Linked DNA regions of Astyanax mexicanus. The protein of the gene in region 2 purifies or fractionates together with the protein of the main gene of each other region. This does not show direct contact. Links are inferred from orthologs where the notes say so. Each region holds a gene or a part of one and is shown on either strand. Other genes may lie near its edges.

What was found.
Region 1: the proteins of stip1 (region 2) and hnrnpdl fractionate together in Homo sapiens (co-fractionation; 3 studies listed by BioGRID, with this or other methods). This does not show direct contact. The link is inferred for Astyanax mexicanus from reciprocal best matches to the Homo sapiens genes STIP1 and HNRNPDL.

Annotation. Positions count from the first base shown.
Region 1 is NC_064427.1:26,846,189-26,854,443, forward strand, and holds the start of hnrnpdl (heterogeneous nuclear ribonucleoprotein D-like), read right to left. Parts: upstream 3,565-8,255; 5' UTR 3,425-3,564; coding exon 3,333-3,424; intron 1,990-3,332; coding exon 1,821-1,989; intron 1,715-1,820; coding exon 1,553-1,714; intron 1,429-1,552; coding exon 1,297-1,428; intron 1,210-1,296; coding exon 1,098-1,209; intron 804-1,097; coding exon 639-803; intron 541-638; coding exon 470-540; 3' UTR 441-469; intron 33-440; exon of another isoform or gene 1-32. Other genes in the region: enoph1 (enolase-phosphatase E1), read left to right, coding at 5,864-5,947, 6,053-6,154, 7,425-7,627. UniProt on the Homo sapiens protein: Acts as a transcriptional regulator. Promotes transcription repression. Promotes transcription activation in differentiated myotubes. Binds to double- and single-stranded DNA sequences. Binds to the transcription suppressor CATR sequence of the COX5B promoter.
Region 2 is NC_064408.1:21,486,913-21,495,869, reverse strand, and holds the start of stip1 (stress-induced-phosphoprotein 1), read right to left. Parts: upstream 3,566-8,957; 5' UTR 3,490-3,565; coding exon 3,481-3,489; intron 310-3,480; coding exon 100-309; intron 1-99. UniProt on the Homo sapiens protein: Acts as a co-chaperone for HSP90AA1. Mediates the association of the molecular chaperones HSPA8/HSC70 and HSP90.

The DNA of each region.
Region 1 (8,255 bases), on a different chromosome or scaffold from region 2:
AGGTGACACACGGCCTGCAATGAAGTCCCCCGCTGGCAGGTACAAACAAGTACAATATCAGAATTAGGGAAAGAATGAAAAAAATAAAATAAGGAGGTGCCCTTACTTTGTACCCTTTAGCAGTACTTTACCTGTTAGCATTGCTATCAACACTATCTTATTTCCTTATGATCACCTGTTAAAAAGCAGGGAGGAAAATGGAAACCAATCTACAGAAAAACGCTTATGTTTTTCTGGAGAGCTTTAAAACCAAAAATAAGGCACACCACTAACACAAGCATTATTAAATTATAATTAAAGATCTATAGACAAATCCCCAAATTACTCAACATGGGGTGCATGATAATGCATACCACTTGTTTTAGGATAATCAGTTTGTGTCTATTGATCTTTAAATTGTATACAAGAGGACAGATGTAAGGCCAAAGATGCAGTCTTACCATAACTCTTAGCAGGTCATGTCATTTCGTCAATATGGCTGGTAGTTGTTCTGATGATTTCCACCCTCCCTGGAGGCCTTGCCGTAACTGCTGGGCTGACCTATTAAAAATATATATATATATTTTGTCAAATGTTTAATGCATGTTTGTAACAATAAAATAGCAAAACTCACAAATAAATAAAAAGTTAAGACTTACTGTTGTAGTCATCATACCCTTGTCCATATCCGTAATTCTGATAGTTGTAGCCTGAATAGTCGTACCCAGAGTAGCCATTATATCCCTGGTTGTATCCATTGCCATAGCTACCATAGTTTTGTCCGTAATAATTGTTGTAACCCTGGTTGTATCCTTGACCTTGCCCTGCACAAAGGAATGTAAATGGTTAGAATCATAGAGGGAAGAACTCAGTTTTAGTACTTTCTGCAAAACCCTCCCTCACAGTGGTTCTCTGTTTTGGCTAATTGTAAATGCACCCATCTCTTCCTCAAAGAACAGTATAACTGCATGTTTTCAATCCAATCAAGCAGCTGTTGGATCAGTTGTTTTCAGACTTGAGTTAAGGGTTTGAGGAGTGATTCTCCTTGGTTGGAATGAAAACCTAAAGCCAAAACAGAAAATACAACTGACTGCTGCTTTAGACAAAAGACTACATACCTCCTCTTCCACGACCCCTGAATCCTCCTCCTCTTCCTTCTCCAAAGCCCCGGTCACTTCTGCCCTGCTGCTGTCTGTAGACTTCTTTAGGCTGGGCAACTTTAACTTCACACTAAAAAACATACCCACATTAAAAAAAAAAGTTTAATTTAGACCTTATTGGACTAGCCATGCTCGTAAATAAACGCAGTAAACCAACCTTTCCACTTCCAATTTGGTGGTATCTGTTTTCCAAAAGCTTCTGAACAGGCTCTTCTTCCACATACGTTACAAAGCAGAATCCTCGCCTCTCATTTGTCTTACCATCCACAGGAAGTTCAATGTTTTCAATCTGTTAGGAACACACATGCCAACCACTTTAGCACTAGCATGGACTCATACAAGTTAACACTTCTGGAGAAACCAAGTACTATAATGTGTTTTTTTTTTAGTCCTAGGCCATTCATATTACTTACAGTTCCGTAATTTCCAAAGTATTCCCGAACTTGTTCCTCTGTTGTTTCTGGATGGAGACCACCAACAAACACCTTTTTGGGAGGTTCCTTCCCCTTCATGGCCTTGGCTCGCTTCGGATCAATAAGCTTACCATCCAGTTTGTGTTCCTTCAGTTCCAGAACCTGAGCAAACAGATATTTTTCAATTGTTCAGCTTTAATTATTGTACGATTGTAGTAATTTACAGATAAATCCCAATGTACCCATGCTAGCAATGTAGAGAACTCACCCTGTCCACACTTTCTGCATCCCGGAAGAGCACAAACCCAAAGCCTCGAGAACGGCCAGTCATGGGGTCTGTTTTGATCGTGCAGTCCAACACTTCTCCAAACTTGGACAGGTAGTCTGTTAGGTCTTTCTTGCTGGTGTCCCAACTCAGGCCTCCAATAAACATTTTCCTGTTAAAACAAACAAATCAGTATTATTAAATTGTGGGGAAATACTGCATCAAAGCACAATACTTTGTTTGGCATTATTGTTTTTTTTTTTTTTATAAAATGTAACAAGACAGTATCTTTGTCTTTATAATCTTACACTCTTGTTGTAAGCTTATTAAAATCACCCCCCCCCCCCCCCCCATGTGTTGCATTGTTTCACTGGTTGTTGGCAACATAATGTAGATCACATGATAAAGTAGTGGGGGTTCAAATTGCTTAGCTTGTTATCAATAATAAAATGCCTGAAAATGGTTCCCTAAGGAAAAAAAATCTCCCAAATAGAGGTGTAATTCTTTTCTTTTTTATTTTATATATACATTTAATTTAACTGTGAAGCATACATTGCCAGTAACTGCATTAAGTATCAACTAGGAGGTCAGATTGGTCACATGCACAGTCATACACAGTATAAACAGCAGGGGTGGCTTGATCCATTTAAAAAAGTTTTCTAGTGTGGTACTGGGTAAGGTTTTTATTTAGCAAGGAATATGCTTTGACTTACGAAGGCAGGATACGATATTGCTTTTGAACCACTTATAGTAATTAAAGATAATTAGCTAACTAGATAATAGACAGATGTACTTGAAGTAATTGGATACCCACCAGCAACCCATATACTTTTCTGTTGCCTAAACTATCCTAACTAACGTTACAATACAAGAATTAATGCTCTTAATTGGCAGAATTACTGCAATAATTCTTTCTGTATTTAAACCTAAACTAGAGGACAAGCAAATAAACCAGTTAAAATAATAATACAATCAACGGCAGAGAATTTTAGGTTAAGTATTGAAAGCACCAACAACTTTATACCATTCATCTATCTATAATTTGTATGGCAAGATAGAGTTTTTTTAAACAGAGTTAAAAAGGCCAAATTGAGTATTTCAGAGAGGCGTTTGCTTTTGCTCAGTGTAAAGCACTTAAATATTTATTAGCTAGCGTTATATAGGTTAGTTAGCATTAGCTATGAAACTAACGCTAACTAGCTGGCCTAGTAGTTACAATTTCATTATAACCTAAAACCTTAAAATAAAACAAAGCTAGCTAGGTTAGCTAACTAAATATGTTTTCTTTAATTAGCCCAAAGTCTATTTAAGGTTAATACACTGGAGTTTTCCTATTCCGGCCCGGTAGGCTCCTAAATACAATTATTCAGTCCACCTTAAATAGTGCAGGGCTTTTACTGTGGCGCCACTACCGGCGCCAGCACTCCACTGCAGGAATATTTAAGGTGGACCGGAAAATTCCGAGCAAGAAGCTGCAGCCTTGATCTGGCCTTGGCCTAGCAGCCAGCGGCTCACCCGTCATCCTGTTGATTCCTGCTCGCGTTGATTTTGGACCCCTCTGGAAACTCGTCGGTGCTGAAGTCGGTACTTTCCTGTTCTGTCTGCATTTTAGAGTGTGTAGGTGTGTGGGGTGACCCTCTGCGGAGCTGCTAAAGCGATTTTATAGCTATAAAAAAGAGCCAAACAGCAAACACTCACTGAAATACTGACGCGGCGGATAAAATGGCTGATGGGGTCTGGTGACGCAAACAGAAAAGGCGGGAGCAGAAGAGGGCGGGGCTGCGGGAGGAATTAAGGGGTCGCGTCCTAATAAAATTAGTGCCCTCTTTATATACGCACTTCTGAAGTCTGCTTATTTTGGACACAGCGACAGGAATGCACACTGGTAACGGTTTGACTCATCAGTTCAAATGCTTGACAACCTCCAGCCTGGCTTGGATGGATGGATGGATGAATAAATGGGTAGATGGATGGATAGATAAAGTATAAAAGTACAGTCCTTTAGTAGTAGGTAGTAGATATGTAGATAGATAAATGGATGGATGGATAGATAAAGTATAAAAGTACAGTCCTTTAGTAGTAGGTAGTAGATGGGCAGGTGGATGGATGGGTGGATGGATGGGTGGTTGGATGGATGGATTGGTTAATAGATAAAGTATAAAAGTATGGTCCTTTAGTAGTAGGTAGTAGATAGATAAATAAATGGAAGGATGGATGGATGAATGAATGAATGGATGTATTCTGGAAATCTCAGAGGGAAGTTCTAGTGCAGTTAAACACCGTAAAAAAATATGTACCAGTGCAAACATGTAAACAGTGGAAAATAAATAGAAATATAGATCTAGTAGTGCAGAATGGGGTAAAATAATATAAATAGGGCATCTAGGAGATTGTGTCTGCAGAGATGGGGTATGTCCATTGTTGTGACCAGAATAAAAAAATGAAAAAAATTTTTTAGTTTACTGTTCTGGGTTCTCTTCTCTGCCAGTGGTGTTAAAGACTCCAGCTCTAATCCCAGCACAGAACCAGCTTTCCTCACCAGCCTGTCAAAAACCCAAATCTGAAACTGTGTATCTGTGTGTCAGGACACAGTTGGGCAACAAAACACACCTAACAGTTTCAGTACCTTTGCTGACAATACAAATGGGTGGGTTCAGATAAAAGATGATATCTTCTGAAATATGTATCGGATCCAGATGTACATAACTGGAAATAAAAGCTGAAATGTTGATATTTTGTCTCCTAATAATCCTTTGATGTAAAAAAAATAATAATGGGATAGACCTAACTGTTCCTGTATTTTGGATGGGACAGCATATACATATTCTAACTCATTAGTGCTCATTTTGTAAAAAAAATAAATAAAAAAATTAAAGATTAAATGACATTTAGGGGCAAAAGGCAAACATGACGAAAACGTCTTGGCACTGGATTGAACTGAAATGATATTTAAAAATGACATAAAATTTAATATAAACATCCCCTCGAAAACAAACTGCCATTTAACTGAATTGGTCTATTTTAAAAATATAATACATTTAGAATATCACGTTATTATTTTTTTTATTAAGCAAAGCTGTTCAACAATGTTTTTACCAGCGAATAATACACTGTACACATCTGTGATTAAATAATATTCTGAATAAATGTCGTTCACACAGAATATTCCTGAAAATAAGCGAACCTGCGCATACATACATACGTACATACATAATCACTGATCTTTAAATAATTTCTTGCCTCAAGTGCTTCGGCGTATGGGCTGTAGATCAGGTAGCTTTGCGTAAAGTGTGCGCAATCCAGTTGTGCACCATTGCAGGGCAGGGCCAATGCCCATATTCGTGGTTGCCAGATTGGTAAGTAGGTAACCTCCGTTATGTATAGCGTTAAAACTGCAGTGTTTTTTTTGTATTTTTTTTAAATAAAATCGTTTGTTAAAAATAAACACTATTTATTTACACATATATAAAATAGTTGTGTATGGAATCATGTATATTTAAAAGAAATGTAAATATAAAAATGAATTAAATAAGTATTATTATTATTGTAGTGCTGAGCAATATATTTATATTTTATCATATTGTGATTATATTATCTTATCGTATCTACAATATCCTTTTTAAAGAATATTTTAAGAGTGTAAAAACCATTTTTGTTTTTAACTAGATCATGTGCAGCAGAAATGTAATAAATATGAATTAACTTTTTGAATAGCAGTTCTTAAGAATCTGCCCTTGCTTATGCATTTTGTCTGCATGTCAAAACATGATAAGTACTGTCATTACTGACTACACTCACAGACTACGTTGCCATTCAGAACTATAGAAATAGAGTTTTTTTCTTACCATTATTTGGCAACCCGTTGACCAAGCCATGTGTTAGCAGCAGAGTGCTAGCTGGCTAGTGTGCTCCTCTGGCTGCTTTTCTCTGGATTATCTGTGATTGTTGGTCGGGCGGTGAATCTGGATGATCTGAGGAACTGATTCCTGTACTGATACTATTCTGAAAACTTTATAATAGAGGCAGATCGTTCGCCATTCTGGAAGATGGCAACGATTACAGTTCCGGAGAACGTTAGCGTCTTTCTGCTGGACATAGAAGGAACCACGACCCCCATCACATTCGTGAAGGTAGTACCGCTGTTATATACATGATTTATACACATAATAATTACACCAGGCACATGATGGTAGTTACTGAGGAAGAATTCTCTGTTACTCTACTTTTATTTGCAGGACGTTTTATTTCCATACATCAGAGAGCATCTGGAGGACTACCTGTCAGCGCACTGGGAGGAGGATGAGTGCAAGCAGGACGTGCATCTTCTAAAGAAACAGGTCATCCACCCACCATCCACCCATTCACCCAGAGCAGCAGCCTGGCCTGCACTGGTCTTTCTCTCAGGATATTAGAGAAATATATGTACACAGCATTATACAAAAGTATTATACCTTGTCTGAGGAAATGATACACAAACTTAACAACAAATACGGATATATTAATGACTATTAATTAATAAGATTTACAGTTACCGCCCAGTACCATGTTTATAAGTCACTATGATATTATGAATGCAGGTCTAGGTTCAGCAGCAGTATGTGCTGAAAGAATGAGGTCAGCTGACTACCTGAATATACTGAATATAGACCAGGTTATTCCATCAATGGATTTTCTCTTTCCTGATGGCACGGCTATATTCCAAGATGGTGATGTCAGGATTCATGGGGCTGGAATTGTGAAAGAGTGATTCAGGGAGCATGAGATCATCATTTTCACACATGGCTTGTTCACCACAGAGTTCAGAGCTTAACCTCATTGAGAATCTTTGGGATGTGCTGGAAAAAGGCTTTGCGCAGCGGTCAGACTCTACCATCATCAATGCTGCTGCAAGATCTTGTGAAATAAATATTGTGACATTTCAGAAGCTTTTTGAAACAATGCCACAATTAATGCGTGCTGAAGTCAAAGCTAAAGGTAGTCCAACGAAGTATTAGAGTTTGTGACCTTTTTTTTGTTGCCGACTCTTTCCAGCTCTTCAGGCTGAAAATGGTTACTGAACCATCTCTAAAGAGTTTTAGACTTCACCAATCCACAGTCAAACAGATTGTTTTCAAATGGAGGAAATTTAAGAACATTGTTACCCTCCCCAAGAGTGGAAGACCAACAATGATCACTTTAGTAGCAGTGCATGTAATGGTCTGCGAGGTCACAAAAGTTCCCAGGGTAACTTCCAAGCAACTCAAGGCCTCTCTCACATTGGCTAATGTTTATGTTCATTATTCTACCATCAGGTGTACACTGATCAACATACAATTGCTGAGCTGCTGTTGTCCCTCATATCACTACTAGGAGAAGACTAGTAGTGATATGTAAGGCTCTTTTGGTAGTTCTTGGGTGAATTCTTCTAATTCCAGTGGGAATTACTGCTGCAGTATTATTATTAATCTTCATAACTGCACATAACTGACTTCTTTATTCAGCCCATTAATTCTACCCTAGCGGCTCCAGCATGATGCCGTTCTTACATTAGTATTCAGCAATTGGGCTGTCGTCATGCGGTCAGCTGATTCTGCTCAAATTCACTCAAACATGTGCCCCTGTTTCCAGGCTGAAGAAGACTTAAAGCAGAACAGAGCGTGCCCAGTTCACACAGTGGATCAGACGGTGCACACGGATGAGGAGAAGGCTATCCGGGAGGTTGTGGATAATGTCCTCTGGCAGATGGCTGCAGACAGGAAAACCACTGCACTGAAGCAGTTGCAAGGCCACATGTGGAGAGCAGCCTATGCTGCAGGGAAGATCAAAGGCGAGTAAGTATAGAGGATCTGCTTCTTTAGTAACTTGTCTGCAGTATGTACAGATGAATAGACTTAGTCTGAGGTAAACATAGACTGAAATGCACAACCCAGAGAAAGTTATTACTGTTTTACGGAGCCCAATTGATAATTAAGTTTTAATAGGCATGTTTTGCAGATGGTAACTAGATAAAACTGAAAACATACGCTGTGTTTTTAAGCATAACCTGTGACCACCTCCTTGTTTTTACAATCATTACTCTTTTTTTTTTTTTTAGCTCCACTGAGTGTATACAGTAGGAGCACTTTGCACTTCTTTAATTCTACAGACAGTAGTCCTGTATCTGTCCTGTAATAATACTCTCCTTTTACCCTGTCCTTAAATGGTCTGAACCCCACAGGACCAACACAGAGCATGTATTATTCTCAGCACTGCAGTGACTGTGCTGAAATAGGCGTGTTGGGTTAGCAGTGTTAAGTGTTGTGCTGGCATGACTGGATCAGGCGCTAAACAGCAGTGCTGATGGGGTTTTTAATGTTTACAGCCCAGCACAATTATAAAGATCACAATATCATAGCTGGTGATTTAATATTTTGCAATATATTGTGATACTGTAAGAATGGTAATAAATAGTGCTTTGTT
Region 2 (8,957 bases):
TTGTGCTGTGCATCCATCAATATTTCAGCATATGGCTGACCCAGCCGATCTGAAGAAGAGGGGAAATAAAAGACAAAAAAAAGCAAGAATTTTATTCACCTTGCCCCAGTCTGGCTTGATTTTAATGGTCTGGCAGGCATCTTTCAGGGCATTATCGTAGTCACCCTTTTTGGCGTAGGCAGCAGAGCGGTTGCTGAAAAGGACATGGTTGGATGGGTCTAAAACCAGGGCTTCCGTGTAGCAACGAACGGCTTCATCAATGTTTCCAGCGCTCAGCGCCTTATTGCCCTGGTCTTTTAGCTGAGATACCTGGGAGGGAAAAAGAGCATAGTAATGGGTAAACCTTTTAAAAAACATTCAATTCTATACTTTATTAGGACACTGACTGATTTGATTAAGTGATTAACTGCCCAGATTCTTACTTAAAAGATAAGAACTTTCAGTACTGCTTAGAGATGGTTTAAAAACAGAATGAGAAACAGAAAAGAAATAAAAAAACAGCAGAATTTAAGTATTAGGGCAACAGAAACACACAGCTTGTCCCGCACTCAACCAGAACTCCATGTACATTACAACATGAAGCAGGTGGAAGATGCTGAGACTCTTTTGCACTGCAATTTAAACAGGCCAGCCACTAGAAGTATCTGCCCGTAGACCTTACAGTGCTTGACCCACTATTTTTTTTTTTTAAAGACACACTTAACATTTACATTAATGGCATTTGGCTTATATTACAGCATGTTATGTGACCAATGACTCATGGCAAGGCAAGGTGTGTTGGCATAATTATTTGTGCACACACGGCTTATTTTTTCCTTGTAGAAAAGTACAGCCAATAGAATAGAAGTCTCTAGAGAAGAAACATGAACCTACTGGCACCATGCCTTATATCAGGCACGGGCAAGAGGGGTATAAAGCATCCCTCCATTAAACTGTGATTTCTGGAATCATGATGCTCAATCCTGTAATTTTGGATGACCTCCTTAACCAAACAAGTATTGTCAATAAATGGCAATTAAAAGACAATTACTCTTACAAAGTCAGAAAAAACTCTTTAATACTCTTGATTTTGAAACAGCAATGGATGGAAAGTGTCCCAGTACTTCTGTCCACACAGTTTCTTTTTATTTGTGACATTTCAGGTATTCATATATACACTCATTCTTATGTAACTAAGAAGAGCTACCTACGAGTGAGAGAGAGAACAACTCACTTAGCACAACAGTGGTTAGATAATAAAGCATCGCCCAACTTTACACACAAAAAAGCTCTTCTTCACACTAATGGTTTATAGGGTAAGCTGCAGCACCACATCATCTCAGAACTGCGCATCAGGTACAGATTTAAGATTGTAGATCATACAATGTGTAAAGGTAACTTTTAATCTTCATAGATTTTAGATCTTCATAGAAAAGCTAAAATGGGTAAGTCTGGAGCAGCATGCCATCACTATACCACCAGATTACAAATAGCAAACATTGTCCACAAGAGTATAAACCCCAGGCATTGGGCTGTGGATCAGCAGAACAGCATTCTACATTTGAGAAGAGTTACAGCAGTGTTTGGGACCCAGACCTACTAAATCACACATAATGAGCTGACCACACTAATACTTTTGTGGCTGAATGCAATCCAATCCTCACAGGAATGTGATCTACTGCACAATCTAAGTAAAGGCTTCTGCTGCAACAAATAGTGAAAAAATTCTTATTAATACCACTGATTTTCAAATGCTTACTGGTGGTGGTCAAAAATCAGAGTGGTCAGAGTCAGCTGCCACACCACACAGACCTGCTCTTAGCTAAGTGTCACAAATGTCACTGACAGACAACCACTGACAGCAGTCACAGCAGCTGATCTACAGGCTGGAGAGTAACACCTACAGTCTTCACAACTCATGACAAAGACTTGTCTATGTGGTTAAAGACTAATAATACTACATACGCTCAAACTGTTCTTACTATTCTTAAAACCTTACAACACTGATACCAGACTGCTCAACACTAAGGATGTGTCCCAACTACATACTAATAATACTATAAAAATATATATATCTTGGGCTATACATTGTTTTGACATTCCTTATTTAAAAAATATGAGTTTGTATTAGCACTTAATATGCAATTGGGATAAAAATATTGCCCATACAAGGACACTACTAACTATAACAAAATCTTCATACTCAAAAACTAGTTACTAGTGCCTAGTATTAGGGATGAACAATTGTATCAACTTTACATTGGTTTCAGTCATTTCCTCTTCTTTTTTCCCTTTTTTTAGAGGATCGATATCATATATCTTGCTATCTGACATTCTCAGGACAGAAACAAATCAAGAGGCGAAAAAGCAGAAGGTGGAGAAGCTAACCAACACCAGCAGAAGACATGGCTGTCCAAACCATCACTGATTGTGGAAACTTCACACTAGACCTCTGGCAGCTTGGACTGTGTGTCTCTCCACTTCTCCTCCAGACTCTGATCCCTTGATTTCCAAATTAAATGCTTAATTTACTGATGGGTCAGTGATGGTTTGGAGAGCCATGTCATCTGCTGGTGCTGGTCTTACATAACTCATGCTTCCCTCTGCTGACAGCTTTTATGGAGATGCGGATTTCATTTTCCAGCAGGACTTGGCACAGTAACTATATTGCTATGTGTTGCTAGTAAAGAAATAAATTATACCCTGTGTAAACTATCTGACATCGTCAGGACAGAAACAAATCAAGTGGAGGAAAAGTAGAAGGTGGAGAATTTAAACAGATAAAGTTAATTAATCAGCTAAACCTGGACTTCTGGTCAACTTCGTTTAGAAAAGTTAACAAGACTAGCAGGAATTAAGTGTTTTATCCACAGAAAACCATATAAAACGACTCTGTTTAGAGCTATACATTTATTATAGATATAGTTAGCTATGTTATATCAGAGCAACAGGGGACATTTATAAACTGTCGCAGTGCTTATGCACCTAACCTAGCTTACAGCTTCATCTCTGCAAAGCCTCCCCCGGCTAAGCTAAGCTAGGCTAAGCTAGGCACTTACAGCTAGCCTAGCGAACTAAGCTAATTGCTTAGTTACGCTGCTAATACGAGTCAGACAGCTGCGTTAACGAAACAACAGTGCCATAAAAATGAGCTACAGCACTGCCAAACATAAACTAGAGGAATAACTCCAATAACTGGCTTTTATTTTATTAGTCATGCTCATAAACTTAGCACCGGAGCTAACAATGAGCACCGCTGCAGCAGCGCCTGTCACACAGCAGCTAGCTTAGCTAATATTACCGCTAGCTCACCGGCTAATGTTAACTGCCGCTAACGAACTTAGCTGGGGTTTAACTGGCCAGCCCACTCACACCACGACACAATCCCCCCTCAGCTAACTGCAGAAACACGCAGTAAGTATATGCTGTTCCCCACAGAATATATATCTCCTATTTTCTCAGCAGGAATATAATTAATTCCCAGGCTGAAGTGGTACTTACTTTCTCCATGGTGTAACCATGAGGTTCCAGAAACTACTGTGAGACGACAGTGGAGACGCGCCGCCCACCGCTCAATATGACTATACCCCAGCATCTGGGTTGCCATGTCGCACTGAAATATCCCTCCGTGACTCACATATGTTGCATAATTGTCTGTTTTAAACAGACATGTATAATAATAAAACAAGTACAAGTGCTCTATTTAAAAGGTGACTTGATTAGAAGTTAAAGTGTTTTTAAGCTCCACACTTAGAAGTAGAAGTGCTAACTAGGGGTGGGCAATATTATATCCAAATACAATATATTGTGACACAGAAATATCATGATATTAAAAATCCATATCGTGATAATAGGGATGTTCTGTCTTAAAAGTAGTCCATTATTTACTGTGAAGCTTTAAGTGAATGTATTGTTTAATTGTTTTAGTTTGCAGTTTATATGCATGCACTAAATATTCTGCAATTTTTTTTGCTGCATTATATTATTTTATGCTATGTTATTTATTTTGCCACATTATGATTATACTGTTAAACTATTATAGTATATTCCTGAAATTAACGAATTATTTCTGTTTTCCTATATCGGCAAGTATATCGTTATCGCAAAAATACCCTGAAATATCGTGATATTATTTTAGAGCCATATCGCCCACCTAGTGCTAACCCCCCAACTGGCACACAACCGACCTTCAGCGTTGAAATGTGGTTGAAATATGGTTGAAATATGATAGAAGTACTGTCTGTTGTTATTGTTTCAGTGTTGAAATCAGGTTTAATATGGTCGAAATATGGTTTAAAAAATATCTGTTTAAAATATCTATAAAATTTTAACTTTCAATCAACATAATGTCCTCAACCTTCTGCCTTTTGAATTAGTATTTTACATTGAATCACTATACAATTGAAAAAAATGTTTGGATGGAAGGATGAAAAAATGGTTTCAAATTCTGGGCCCTGTACACTCTCAATGTCAGTGGGCCCCTATCCATGCCAGTACACGTGAAAAAAAAAATCTGGATTATCATGGGCCCCTCTCACTACTCTGGCCTTGGGTAGTCAGCAATACAAATAAAATTGTTAATTTCATCATGGCATACAGTTTTTTTCCCTCTTCCATACAATTTTAAGCATCCCGAATATGAGCTAAGTTTTATTAAAGGTTGAACGTTCGACGTTGAAATAACATTGCCATATCAACATTTATTCACTTTTTAAAATAAACACCAAATCCAACGTTGGTTGAAGCATAACACCAACGTTAATTCAATGTTGATATGCCATCATTTATGTACTTAAGTACTACCCAAGTAATGAAATTAAAAGTACAGTACTGTGTTACATATTTATTACATAAAGCAGTGGAAAGTTTGCAGAGTGAAAGGTAGAACAGGATTTGTAATGATTCATGGCTATTGGTTTATACTTAATCCATTGCAGCTGCACATCACGCCACACTTGAGCGAAATGTCCCAACTAAGCTTCTTTAATATATTTACATTGTACTAAAATACGTTCATTTTCAATGGACACCTGAGAAATGAGTGGATACTTTAAAATGTGGATACTTTTGATTCTTTTGTATTTAAAAGCTGAATAACACAAACAAGCAGTGTTTCTGATATGTGCAATGAACAGAACATACATATATTAAACTTATTTACACCTACACTTCATTAATGATTTGCTTTTTATATTGTACACTTAGTTAATGTACACAGAAAGCTCCACAATTTCTCTTTAATCAACGGTCGTGTTATTTCACCTGCAAATCTGGCAACCCGCTATACATGGGAAAGCGAAACGCCGGGTTCGCGCATTGTGACTTTTCTCATCGCTTTAGATTCATCCTCTCGCTGATTGGTTGTTTCGCTCAGCGCGGTTTGGTTTAGAGCAATCAGAGGACAGTGCGCTGGAGCTGGGAGGAGAAATGTGACGGGAAAAAGCGGCAGAAATATTCTAGCGAGTTCTGGAAAGTTCATTGGTTCATATTCGAGGCTGTACATAAATAACTCCAGCTGCTGCAGGGTTGTTGTGCTCTGGAGACACACAGAATCTACCAGCACTTTCTCAAGACTCATTAACAAATTATTACAACCATAGAGGAAAGCTACTCTTTAAAATACTTTTTCTGCATTTATTACAGTTATTACAGTGTTCTTTTGTCATGTTCACGGTGCTGCCTAGTTAAGATAAAATGAGATTAAACAACACAGTTTTATACTTTATTTTCTTAGTTTTGAAGATTAAAAAAAATACTTTAGACTTTTCTTCAGTTATTTCAGTTTTCATAAAACCATATCAAGCTTGGAATAAATCCTCCTTTAAGAACCCGTGACATCAGTCACTTTACATGTTTTCAACAAATGTCAATTTTTGCTAAAATTGTCCTCCTAGTCATTGTCCACTTTGTCCACCTGTGACAGGTATAATGAAAAATGATTAGGCTGGGACAATATGATTTCCGTGTAGTCTGATGTCTACTATTTATACATATGATACATAGTAAAAAAAAAGGATTTAAAATGTCAACTGATTTATAAGTATTGATAGTAATAGAAGTAGTAATAGTAAGCGGTAGTTGTAGTAATAACATTAATAGTTGTAGTTTAAAGTAGTTTTAAAGTAGCAGTATTGATAGTAATAGTGGCAGTAGTTGTGAACATAGTGAGAGTAATAGAAATAGTAGTAATAGCCATAGCAGTGGTTGCAGTAAAACAGTAGCAATAGTAATAGTAGTACTTACATAGTAGTATTAGTAGCAGTAGTAGTAGAAGTAGTAGTAATAGGAGCAGTTGTAGCAAAACTGGTAAAAGTAGTACTAACAGTAGTAGGATGTGTTAGTAACATTACTAATAGCATTAGCAGTAACAGTAGTTACAGTATTAGTTACTAGGAGATAACCTAAATGGTTAATAATATTAGTAATTATAGTAATATTAGTGGAAGTAGTGGTAATCATAGTATGAAGTATTACTAACATTTTTAACAGTATTAGCAGTAACAGTAATCACAGTAGTAGCATTAGTAGTAACAGTATTAATAGTAATAAACTAATTAGCTCTATCCTCACTTTAGTTGGGTACACTAACAGTAAACAGGAAGCTGTTCTATTGACTATATGTTGTTTCATAAACAACAGCCAGACAGGGATCAAGCTTAGCTATGGATTATATTTTCTTTTTAATGAAAAATGTTAATTCAGAGTTCTGTGTAGTCAAAGACTAGGCTTAATCCCTGTCCGGGAAACCAGCCATGAATGTCTGAAAGTACCCAGGCAGCCTTTTTTAATTACTTAATCCAACTACTTGCTACTTAGGTGCACTCAGTGCTGACATAAGATGTTAAAATGCACACACACACAGAATTTATATAGCCCTGACAACAGACTGGGATGCTCTGGAGCGGCACATGAGGCCTCCATACCACCAGGTCACAATCATCAGCTGAGGATCAACAGATAGACTGGGAGCAGTAGGTCTGAATATCTACAGGGTTGGAGCTCCATCCAATACCTTTGGGATTATTTGAAGCAATGTTTGTGATCCAGACCTAATGATCAAATGTAAATACCCCACTATACTCACTAATATCGATGTCCCGATCTTATCCAGGCATGTTTAAATGGATCAGGTATCAGCTATTTGAGTCCAAATCCAATTCTAAGTCTATGGTTTAACCACAGTGTTCATAGCAAGTAGTGGACAGTATCGCCCAGTCGACTGCACTGAGGAGAGTTCTCAGAAGGTAAATACAGTAAAGAGTTTAGTTAGTGTGGAACTAGTGTGCAGTGTGGAATTAACAGATATCAGTCCAGGGAGTATAAACCTGAATACACATAGATGTACACAAAAGTGACTTGACTGCAGTGTTTCAAAGGAACTGGGAGCTAAATGGTCAGGGAGTCTGGTCAGTCAGAAGTCTTATTAAATAAAATGTTACTAAAACAAAGTAAAAGTACTTCAGAATGATCTAAACTGCATGGCTGTTATTATTTATACAAACCCAAATCACATTGGATCATATAAACTGACACAGATAATTTGCAAAATAACCTGATCAGGACATCCCTACTCCCTGAGGCTGAAAGCATTCTAATATTCTTAGCAATGTTACAGCATCTAGTGTAGTCTGTTCCCTATTTGTACTCTCAGTTTCAGAAGAAATTATATGGTAAATGTGTCTATTAGGGACATACAGAAACAATAGATAGGTTGGTGTTGTTTGTGACACTGTTGTTTCCTGTTTTTTTTTTTATCACACAGTAAGCTGTGTTTAGTGTGTCTATGTATCAGGAGGTGACACTGGTGTTTTACTGTGGTATCAGTATGTCCTGTTTATCTCCTAGACATTCACAATCACTGTTCCAGCCCCACTGAAAGCCTGCCTCAGTATCTGTGGTGTCACTGATTGGTTTCTGAGCCAGACCCTGACACACGCACACACACACACCCACACAAACACACGAACGCACACACACACACACCTCACTGCAGCTGTTAGTCTGAGGAGGAGTTCTCATTCAAAAAGCTCTTCACCCAACGGCAGCAGCAGCAGCAGCAATAGCCTCCACTTAAAGAGGCAGCAATCAATACCCCTCCCTCTCTCTTTCTCTCCTCTCAATCTCAGATTATTGCTACATTTGCTCCCATACAAATTATTTATCTATCTATCTATCTATCTATCTATCTATCTATCTATCTATCTATCTATCTATCTATCTATCTATCTATCTATCTATCTATCTATCTGCATGTTTGTCTGTCTATCTATCTGCCTACATACCAACCTACCTGTCTATCTGTTTATCTATCTGCCAACCTATCTTCCTGCCTGTCAGTCTGTCTGACTGTCTATCTATCTGCCTACCTACCTACCTACCTACCTAACAACCTACCTGCCTGCCTTTTTGTCTGTCTGACTATCTATCTACCAGCCTACCAACCTACCTACCTGCCTGCCTGTCTTTCTGTCTGTCTGTCTATCTATATGCCTACCCACCTACCTGCCTGTCTGTCTATGTATCTACCTACCTACCTACCTACCTACCTACCTACTAACCTACCATGCCTGCCCACCTATCTATCTGTCTCTCTATCTATCTGTCTACCTACCTACCAACCTACCTGCCTGTCTCTCTATCTGTGGGTCTGTCTTTCTGTCTGTCTATCTATCTATCTGTCCACCTACCTACCAATCCCACCTTCCTGCCTACCTACCATCCTGTCTACATGAGGTTCCTGTGTGCTGTAGGTATTAGTAAAGTTTAGTTTATACTTGGGTCAACAATGGTGCAGAAGGTAGTGTATTCAGGGACATGGTGCTGAAGGTTTGATTCCCCTGTCTGTGGGGTGTTCTCGTGTGACTGAATGGCTGTATGTGGTACCCTGTGATAAATTTGAGCACTGTTGTTGTGTAGTGGTGAAATAAATGTAGAAAATAACACAAAGGACTCAGCAGTAGAGTTTAGGTTCTTCTCCT